Linked DNA regions of Medicago truncatula. The protein of the gene in region 2 interacts with the protein of the main gene of each other region in a pairwise test. Links are inferred from orthologs where the notes say so. Each region holds a gene or a part of one and is shown on either strand. Other genes may lie near its edges.

What was found.
Region 1: the proteins of transcription factor TCP15 (region 2) and protein DA1 interact in a two-hybrid assay, tested with the Arabidopsis thaliana proteins (2 studies listed by BioGRID). The link is inferred for Medicago truncatula from reciprocal best matches to the Arabidopsis thaliana genes TCP14 and DA1.
Region 3: the proteins of transcription factor TCP15 (region 2) and ethylene-responsive transcription factor 4 interact in binary tests that used the Arabidopsis thaliana proteins (3 or more experiments, as listed by UniProt). The link is inferred for Medicago truncatula from reciprocal best matches to the Arabidopsis thaliana genes TCP14 and ERF4.

Annotation. Positions count from the first base shown.
Region 1 is NC_053042.1:6,673,089-6,676,848, reverse strand, and holds the start of protein DA1, read right to left. Parts: upstream 2,541-3,760; 5' UTR 2,106-2,540; intron 1,841-2,105; 5' UTR 1,798-1,840; coding exon 1,696-1,797; intron 1,579-1,695; coding exon 1,488-1,578; intron 1,361-1,487; coding exon 1,228-1,360; intron 599-1,227; coding exon 478-598; intron 369-477; coding exon 285-368; intron 165-284; coding exon 93-164; intron 1-92. UniProt on the Arabidopsis thaliana protein: Ubiquitin receptor that limits final seed and organ size by restricting the period of cell proliferation. May act maternally to control seed mass. Acts synergistically with DA2 to regulate seed size.
Region 2 is NC_053045.1:52,947,245-52,951,004, forward strand, and holds transcription factor TCP15, read right to left. Parts: upstream 2,568-3,760; 5' UTR 2,130-2,567; coding exon 816-2,129; 3' UTR 408-815; downstream 1-407. UniProt on the Arabidopsis thaliana protein: Transcription factor involved the regulation of plant development. Binds to the Up1 elements (5'-GGCCCAWW-3') in early light-induced proteins (ELIPs, e.g.
Region 3 is NC_053043.1:38,973,864-38,976,927, forward strand, and holds ethylene-responsive transcription factor 4, read right to left. Parts: upstream 1,641-3,064; 5' UTR 1,516-1,640; coding exon 895-1,515; 3' UTR 544-894; downstream 1-543.

The DNA.
Region 1 (3,760 bases), on a different chromosome or scaffold from region 2:
TTAATATTCCCAAAGATAAAAGCTTGTTCAAAACTTCACATCAACGACACTCGCACACCAATTATTCAGGACCAGGAAAGCAATCTACTTACACTATTACTAGTATCTAAATTAGCATTTGGCGTGGTTATACTCATAAGGTATGGCTCCCATAAGACCGTAATCTGGATAACGTTTTCCATTCTCCCCATCCATTTTTACATATCAAAAAGTAAAGGCAAACGATAGTCTATGATAGGTATCAGATGCAAGAATGTAAAAAGTTGTTAAGGGGAAATACTTACGAAGTGCTTGCAGACATCACATTTCGGATGGTAGCTTTCCTTATAGCATGCTTTATGGAAAGGGTAATTTCCAGACGTGGAAAACTACAAAAGCAAGGAAATATACATGAAATACCAATAAAACCTTGATCAAAAAACAGTTACGAAAACATTAAAATGAGAAATTTGACTTGATCAAAGGAAATTCTTGCACCTCATAATCAGAGATTGGTAGGTTGCAAGCACGACAACGAAAGCATTCAGGATGCCAGAATGCACCCAAGCAGTTTAGATAGCGGCCATAACCAATCTCAGTATTGCAGCCAGCGCATATCCTATTATGTAAATAATTAGATTAGATATCCACAATTGAGTCTGCATTACATATGTTGTTGATATTCTAATCTAACACCAAGCTGAAATAATAGAATAATTTCTCCATCAACTGAACATAAACAGAAAATTGATGGGCAAATGTTTTCTCTCTTTGTTTATGAGCATTGAATGCGATGTACATGATACAAAAGCTATCCCTTCTTTGGTTGCGGAACTTAGTTCATAGTACCCCATGGTTATTTATATATTCATCTCATCATGATCAAGACTCTACAACAACAATAATAACAACCCCACACTTTCTGACTTGGCAACTCAAAAGTCTATACCAACACACGCGCACACACATATAAATAACAACCGTTAATTTTTTTTGTGCAGCACTCTATACTTGGCTAGTGTTTAGTACAAGGTATTTGAAGAGGATAAAAAGAATGAACAGTGTATCTAGACTACATTCTAGTCCAGTTTTTTTAAAGCTACATTCTAGTCCAGTGTACATCACATCAGCCCCTTCCTACCAAAATATCCTTGATGATTCATAAGATCATCAGTCGACAAGTAGTTCAACAAGACCAGCACGAATAAGTGGGAATTGAGATGCACAATGTTATCCTGTAACTCATACCTGTACCCCATCGGGAAATACTGAATTGGTTGATACATATTATCATTTCCATGTTTGGGAGGTGACTCCAAATTTAGACTTTCTTCTATTGCTCTGGCAAGTTGTTCATCTTCTTCTAATTGTGATTTGTGGTCTGTAAGATGGACAGAAAACTTCATAAATACAGAACAGAAACTATTTTTGAGGAAAATATGTATCAATTCCTAAAAAAAAAAAAATATATATATAATGCAATAATCTTTTAGAGCTATCTCACTCACCTTTTACATTTTTCACTTTCTGATTTTCTTCTACCAAAGACAACGCAATCGCACGATCGATATCTTCATTCTCGTTCTCAGTCCAAACATCCTACATTCAAAACCCTATCAAAACACGCGACACAAAATTTTCTAAAACAATAACTTACAACATTTTCCAAAACCAGACAAAAATTTCTAAAGCATTACAAATTGCATTAAAAATTACCCCTGAAGTTGATGGCAAGTAATAACTCGAATCGTCTTTATAGTAATGCCCTTCAGAAACCTTATGATCAGACCCTTTAAAAATTCTACTAAGCCAACCCATGAATAAAAAAAATAGCTATATGTTCAACAAGAACAGCTCCTCCCTGCACAAATAAACATCAACATAAAAAAGTAATCACAATCAAGAATCAAGATATTGCAAAAAAAATCATCCACGGACACAGACACTGACACGCGACAGCGATAGTAATTTGAAAAATTGACATAATTGAATGTAATCGCATGAGTTAGTGCCGGGACAAGATGTCCCTGTCTTACACAAAAAAGACGGGGGTTTAGCAGGTTTATATAAAAATTAAATAAAATTAAATAAGTTTATGAAACAAAAAACTTGAATTATGAACTAACCTCTGTTAAGAAATTGCAGAAGCAGCGAAAAGCGAATTGTAAGAAAATTGAAATAGTTTGGTTTGGTTGTGTGATCTAATTTGGAAGAATGATTCAAAAACGAGTAAGAAAGAAAAGACTCTTTAGATCATTGACAATTGAAGAAAAAGAATAATAATGAAGAATTAATTATAAAAAAAAAAAAAAAAGAATGAATAAATGTGAAGAAGAGGGAAAAGTAGAAGAAGTGCACGCGATTATAAAGTCAAATTAAATTTGAAGAAAAGTAAAACATTTCATCAATTATCATTATTATTTAAAATCCAGATAGGAGGAGGAGATTTGGAATACAAAGGTGTGTCTGTGTGGGGTCCTCCTTGTTCACACACAACACACACCTTCTTCCTTCTTACGAAGGGAGACCCCAAAAGACAAAAAGTTTGTTCTGATACCGAAAACCAGAACAGTTTTCTTTCTTTCTTTCTTTATATTATTTTACTTTTTTTATCTAGAACTCACCTTCAAATTGGGATGTCTGAGGTTCGAACACCGGCTCCTGCATATAACGATGCATGTCTCGGCCAAATGAATTATACTATTTATTTTACTTTTAACTAGCCTAAAGAATGATATGCATTTTTTAACAATAGCACCTAATAAACGTTCAGTTCCTCCAGCATCTCAGACAATTTTTTTAAATGAGACATGTTAATCAACTATCAATAAATATATATTGTTACATCCAAGTTTTTAATATTAAAAATATACGGCTTGTACAAAAAAAATATTAAAAATATACAGAGTTCACTTAAGATTAAAGTCTTAAGTGAGACCTTGAGTCTTATAAACATCTAAAAACAATTCTCTCATAGGGTACCTAATAAGTACTAAGGTCTTCAAATTTAAGATCTCCCTATTAGAGATTGTCTTATACATAGTGGGTTAATCTTTCTCTCGTATTTCCTCCATCCCCTTTTTATAAGACAACTTTACAAAAATCATGAATCTTAAAAATATAAAATTACGAGCAATAAATTTGTCTAAAATATACGTTCCTATTATTAAATTGGACTATTTGTGTATAGCTGTATTTAATATTAATTTTTCATATTATAAGATAATATTATTTTTTTTAGCCAAAAGATTATATTAAACAAAAAGAGATGCATAGAGTGATGGATATTAACCTGACCCAAAATACAACGCTATAAATCAAACTTAGTGATCAATCCTTATCCATTTCAACAAAAAAATTCACAAATTATTGGCTCAATCCAGCGAATCCGTGTACGAGTGTAAAATCAAATTACAAAAAAAAAAAAATGAAAAGTGAACATCTGCACGAACATGTAAGGTTTAATTTCGGCGAATTGATTGATTGCCAACACGGCAACAACTCCATAAACAAAGCAACAAGCATCAAGCTCTTTCGAGCATACAGTACCAATGTGTAAACAGACATGACAACTTGAAACCTATAGATCTCAACAAATATGGATATATCATCGAGTCGATATTATAAGATAATTGATAATACTAACAAGAGTATAATTAAAAACATTAATAAATATTTTTTTTAAATAGTATTTTAATTAAAGCCCGAGGAAGTACCAATTTTAGTAGGACCATAGGTGAACATTGTGACAACTAAAATGGTTATGACTTATGGGTCGTTT
Region 2 (3,760 bases):
TCACACATTTAGTAGAATCAGAATGATCAAAAAGCAATGTAAATTTACATTATTTAACACACTTCACTTCACTTACTAATAGTAGTTCTAGTACATTTTTTTTTTTTATCTATAGTATAGTCTTAGGGTAACACACTGTTTCATTCCTTTTACCGCACGAGCTTTGTTGTGGCCCAGAAAGAGAGATGGAAAAAAAGAAAAGGAAAAGCATAAATGTTGAAAACAAAAATGCCTGTTAGGTAGGAAACTCAACTCAGCTAGTCGTGTAATGGAATCAAATCAAATAGTAGTAAGTCGTTTTCTTTCTTGGATCTCTCTTCAACATAGAATTATACAAAGCAATGTAATTAAAAAGCTAGCTACGTGGTAAAAAAAATTCAAAAAGAAAAAGTGAATTGCACAAACAATGATGATAAGATATCCTGTAGTAGCAGTAGTGAACTGAAATAATTCAAGGAACACATTTTTTTTTTTTGCCAGAGGAAAAGAACAAAAAAAGTAAAGCAGGCAGCCAAATACCCCAATTGTTAATTAAATAGTGACTCTCATCTTCCAAACCCTAAAATACTATCTTGTTTTCTCTTCACTTCTCCTGAATCATTCATTCTCTCTTCCAAAATCTTAATCACACCAAAAAATTAATTTTGGGAATAATAATAATAATAATTAATAAACAATAAAACTCAATTTAGAATAAGATCAAACAAACCTCACGTGTGTGTTAAAATTAAACACATCATCAAATCAAACTACTAGACAAGTAATGTAAGAAGAAGAAGAAGAAGCAGAAGATGATGATCTTGTAGGAGCTGTGATTAATTATCATGTCGATCATCGTGTTCATGGCTACCACTGCGATGATGATGTGATTGTGATCCACTTGGTTGATGGTGTTGTTGATGATGATCGGAAACCGGACGATAAGGACTAAGACCAGCAAGCATACTCAAATGTCCTTCATTCATATTCATATTCATATTGATATTCCCACCACCACCACCACCACCGGAAGAATTACCTAATTGTTGACCTGGTAACAAAGCCATAGGTTGTGGAAAATTCATAAAATGCAAACCACTAGTTGAAACTGCTCCTCTATACAAAGCAGCAGCACTATTATTCACTGACGGAAAAGTCCATATAGGATCACCACCACTCATTATTTGGTTATTAGAATTTGCAACCATCCATATATTTGCCGGAATCTGAGTATGACTTGCTGGAATTGAACCTGCACTTGATTGCATCAGATAACTCCCCATTTGATGTTGTAATGATGATAAATCTTGCTCACTGCCACCACTGCTAGTTCTTCTTTTTCTTCCTCCCATGGATTCTTCTCCACTTGTTTCAGATAAATCTAACGTGGTTGATGAAGAAGGAGCGTTCGCGTTAGCGTTTGAGTTTGTGTTTCCATCTCGAACCTCTTGTTTAGCCTGCAACATATTTGTTAGGTTATTTGATTGGAAATTCAAAAGCATTGAAGTGTTGTTGTTGCTGTTGTTATCTGAAGGAGATAAACCAATTCCAGGAAAAAGAGTTCTTCGTTGTTGAAGTGAGAAATTCGGGTTGAAGTAAGAAGATCTTAGCTGAGATGGAACAGACATGGATGAGCCTGAGCTACGAAGTGAGATATTGAGAGATGTGAAGTTAGCAGGTATAGTTCCAGTACCAGTGGCGGCTATAACAGCTGGTTCAGCTTGTTGAAGAAGCCATTCAATGGTTTCACCATCAGATTTATGGCCAAGTTCGCGTGTAAGCTGAAAAACTCTAGCAGCACAAAGTGCCGGCATTCGGATGCGGCGGCCACGGCCTTCTACTTTGGTATGACGGTCTTTGGTGGAAGTTCTTTTCGGAGGAGGTTTTTTGTTGGCAGGGTCAGAGGTTGTTGGTGTTGATGCTGGGACTAGTTGGTTGGATCGGTTTGAATTTGATGTACTTGGTTCTGTTGGTGAGATTGCTAGGGATGGATATGGAGAAGAAGTTGAACATGATGCTGCTTCTTGGTTATCTTCTTTCTTCTCAAGAAGTTGAAATGGAAAATTTTGTCTTTGTTGTTGTTGGTGTTGGTGGTGGTGTTGATGGTGCTGGTGGTGGTGATGGTGGTGGAGATCATCTCCTCCATCCATGATCGCATGGATAGTAAAAAAAAATAAAAAAAATAAAAGTGAGTTTGATATATGAATATGAGAGAGACTTGTGTTGTTGTGTATGATAAGTGAGGTTATAGTAGTTTAATATGTATGGTGGGTCTTTGTTCTCATTTTGAGGGGGAGATATGGGTGTGTTGTTATATTTGTTACTTTGTTTAGGTAAATGAAGGAATTTGCTTTGGAATTGATGTGGTTAAGTTTAAGAGTAGAGAGAGAGAGAGAGAGATAGTGAGAGATGAGATAAGGAGGAGAAGAGCTTTAAGCAACAAAGATAATGAGTGGGAATTATATGGGTGAGCTTTAAAAAGCATGATTTTTTCCAGAAAAGAAATTGCTTTCTTGAGTTGTGGTGTTCATGAGCTTTTTCATTATAACTGATGAGTGGGATTTATTTATTTTTTATATTTTTAATGAAGATATTTTTAGATTTTAATCATTCTGCTTGTATGGAAAGATGAAGATTTAAGCTGGAAGTAGAAAAAAATCTAATATTTTTTTTGTTTGAATTTAATTTAATTTTGTGTGATGGAAGGAAGAGAGTAGAGTAGTATTGTGTTGTTCCCTTTTGATTATGGTTGGACAGCGTCTTTGGTTCAGACTCCACGTGAGGTGCTCTTTTTATCATTCAATCCATAAAGACAATGGTGGCCAAAGTGGGACCCGATCCCAAGTCAAAAAAAAATAAAATTGAAAGACCTGGAAAGGAAATATTATCAATTGGGTCCCATCTCATTCATGTAATCATTTCATTTTGCCTTTTCTTCTTCACCTTTGCTCTTCAACTTTGCCCCTTTGCTTTTCCTTCTTCTCTCAATACATGGACCTAATTAGAGAGCGTTTACATTTTGTTTTGCTTAGTTTATTTCACATCAACTATACATTCTTCTAATGTAATTACAAACATCTTGGTCCCTAACCAACCATATTTATAGTACTGTATCCCTTCGAGTATCCAAAATTAGATTCCTGTTTATCACTTTAATTTACTCTCTAAGGATGTTTCGTGGTCAATAATTATCAAATACCTATTACAAGTCATTCAAAGTTTTAATTAAATTGCATATTTGCATACATATACATATCCCATTACACGACCAAACCTCTCAATCAATTTCTCCTTTTTTTCAATTTAACAATCAAATCAACCAAATAGCATTTTTCCACTTTTAAGTAAATTTAATACCACTAAGTGTATAAGATATCAAAAGGGTTACGTTTTAAAATTTCAATTGTGGAAAATGACAAGATAATATACATATAAGGTATTTTAGAGGTACTCAAAAATAGATGCTATTGGGAGTTATCTTCTACAGACTTAGGACCACAAAGTAGCACATGGAAATGGATCTAAATCCTTGTAAAGTTTCAGAGAGAACAAGCAGTCACTATGTGTTGTTTATAAGGGAAGTCTATTTCAACATTTTTATTGGTTAGAATTCGATTGAATCCTCATGAGTTTTTTCCTTTACTTGAAGTTGAGGCTGACACTGTTCCTTTTCAGCTCATGTGAGCAAATTAAATTAACTACACAGAAACCAATTTCATTTTCTTTGCATTTAAGAAGAGGCTATCTATATAGTTTCTTATTATAGAACTTTTTTTTTTTT
Region 3 (3,064 bases), on a different chromosome or scaffold from region 2:
AAATTTACAATTAGTGTATTTGTGGTCTAAAATTCAATCCGAAATGAAGATGTAAAGTCATTTGTTTCATTCAAAAATAATTAAATTCACCTAATTAACTTACAATGTTCAATCAAAATTCCCATAGAAGCACAATTGTTTAGTCATTTGATTCACGCAAAAAACCTTACTTTTTTTTGCTGAGGTGAAACAACAAACCTTACATTTAATAAATTTTCTGATAGAAAGTGGAGCCCATGTTGACAATCTAGTGTAGCCAAACATCAATTAAAAATACAACCATTACTACTAGTACTAGTATTCGAAAAGAACAAACCAATCAAAGAACGTTCGTTTGAGAAAAAAAATACCCTAACCTAATTATACTCACAGCGGCGGCAACATTCACATGCTTGTAATCGTAAAATCTCCACAGCCAAATCCAACCGAATACATAGAAACAAATCTGAACTGTACCTTAAAAAAAGTGAACATAAAATATACATATTCTCTACCTAGTGGATAACGTTTGAACTTTGATCAAACAAACAAACTAGAATGAAATCAAATAAAAATGCTACCATAACATATCATAGAGTAATTAACTAAAATTTCAATTCATAATTTAAGATTAATTGCAGAAACAACCATGAGATACTAATAACAAGTTCTCAGTTGCAAAAATTAATAAGGTTCCTTCTTTCAGTTATATTTACAAAGCGTGCTCGTTATCATCATATTCATGAACAAATCTGAGCACCATGTCAGCAACACACTTTGCGTTCTCTCTCTCTTTCTTCGTTAAATATTTTTCACGAGAGTGATTCCGTTCATCAAAATGGGTACTTCAAAAAACGAAAAGAAAAAAAAAAATTAATTTTTTTTTTGCTTATGGGTCTTCAAAATAGATCCAGATCAAGCAACTTCAGGTGGTGGAGGAACATTAAGATCAAGATCCAAGAGTCTCTGACGTGGCACACCTTCATAATCAACAACGGAGGAAGAAGAACCAGAGTCACTCTGCACGGCGGCGCGTCGAAAATCAGCCATGGGACGTTCAAATCCACACATCTCACGACGGCCAACGGTTAGGGCTGTTTCAGCACGTGCGAATGCGTCAAAAAACAAAACAGGACGCGCCACCGGATAGGCCAAGGTAACACCACCGTGGGAGGAGGAGAATGGTGTGAGAGTTAAATCAAGCGGAGGTGGCGACGGTGATTCAAGAGTGCTGCTTTGACTAGGGCTACCGTTGTTGATAATCTCCAACGGCGTTGGAAAATTTGTCTTCGCTTTTGAGCCGCGAAACTCACGTGCCGCTTTGTCGTAAGCACGCGCTGCTTCTTCAGCGGTGTCGAATGTTCCAAGCCAGACACGTGTTTTTTTACCTGGGTCACGGATCTCAGCGGCGTAACGACCCCATGGACGTTTTCTTACACCTCTGTAACGAATCTCTTTCTGGGCTTGAGCCTGGGCTGATGGGTTTGGCCCAGGCCCGGTGGTGGTGTTGGTGATTCTGTTATCTCTTGGAGCCATTGTGAGAAAATTGAAAATTGAAAGTGAGAAGTTTTTTGTTTTTTGGTTTAATGGGAGACAGAATGAACATAAAGAGATTTTTTTTTTTGTGAATTGTGAAACTGAGACAATGTCTGAGGGAAACAAGGGGGAGAATAAGGTGGTTTTATAGGAAAGAATGAGGAGAGAGAAGAAGAAACTACGGCGCGTGCGTGTGTGCGTGACTGCGTGGTGTGAGGAGTTATAAAGCTACGCTCCTTTTAAGCGATTGTTATTTACACAAAACGTGTCTTCTCTAACACGAACCAAACCACTTTTGTTCCAAGCTGCTTGTTTCCCAATCCTCTTTGTCTTTGGTTTAGTTAGTTACTCGAGAGCTTCATTTATTTTTCCTCATTTCCCTATTCATTGTTGTTCTAATCTAGAACCTTTGTTCCCTTCAATTGGACTACACCTAAAAATCACTAGTAGTAAAACATTTTGTAAAAAAAAAAAAAAAGTTGACTAACTTTTGTAATTTCTAATTTCTAATTTCATTCATTTTAGGTTGTGTTCTTTCCTATTTTAAGTTTGCGAAATGATATTTGAACGTAAAGTGTCTTTATTTGGCATTTAAATTACGAAAAGAATATAAGTGATTGATTTTTTGGGAAATTTTTTTTTTCTAACCCTTTTTGCCAAAAAAAATTCAGATATGACCCCCTTTGAAAAAAAAATACCGAAATGACCCACTTTTGAATTTTTTTTTTTTTTTTGTCTTCTAGCGCGTTTCCGCCATCTGAAATAGCGGGACTGGCCGCCGGATCTGACAGCCGTCGCGTCAGGCTGGCGCTGCTTTTTTTTTTTTATTTTTTTTCCGTTCCCGCCGTTTCATCTGGCGGGACTGATTATTTTATTATTTTGTTCGTTTTTTCTATTTTACAATTAAATAATAATGATAAATAATAATAATAATAATGATAAATAATAATAATGATAAATATTTAATAAAAAAACTACTTTCCCCGCGGAAACCAATTACGCCAATGTAAACTATGACCTCCCGTGCTTTGCCATAATCCAAACATGCGAAGACTAAAGAAAGGTCGACCCAATAGTACCCGCATAAGGACTGAAATGGACGAGGAGGTGGTGGAGAGGACTCCAACACCGAGACGGTGTGGGTTGTGTCGGCATACCGGTCATATTAGGAGAAATTGTCCGAGTTTAAATAATCGGTAGTTAATAACGTTATGTATTATGTGTTCAAATAAATTAATATATTTTTATCTATCATTATTATTTGTTGTGTTTTATTTTATGTAAAAAAATGCTATTTGTTCAAAAAAAAAAATGTAAAACAATGCTGCCAAAAAAATAAAAAGAAAAAACGAAAAAAAGATAAATTATGTGCTACGGGAGGTCATAGTTTACATTGGCGTAATTGGTTTCCGCGGAGAAAGTAGTTTTTTTATTAAATATTTATCATTATTATTTAATTGTAAAATAGAAAAAACGAAAAAAATAATAAAATAATCAGTCCCGCCAGATGAAACGGCGGGAACGAAAAAAAAATTAAAAAAAAAAAGCA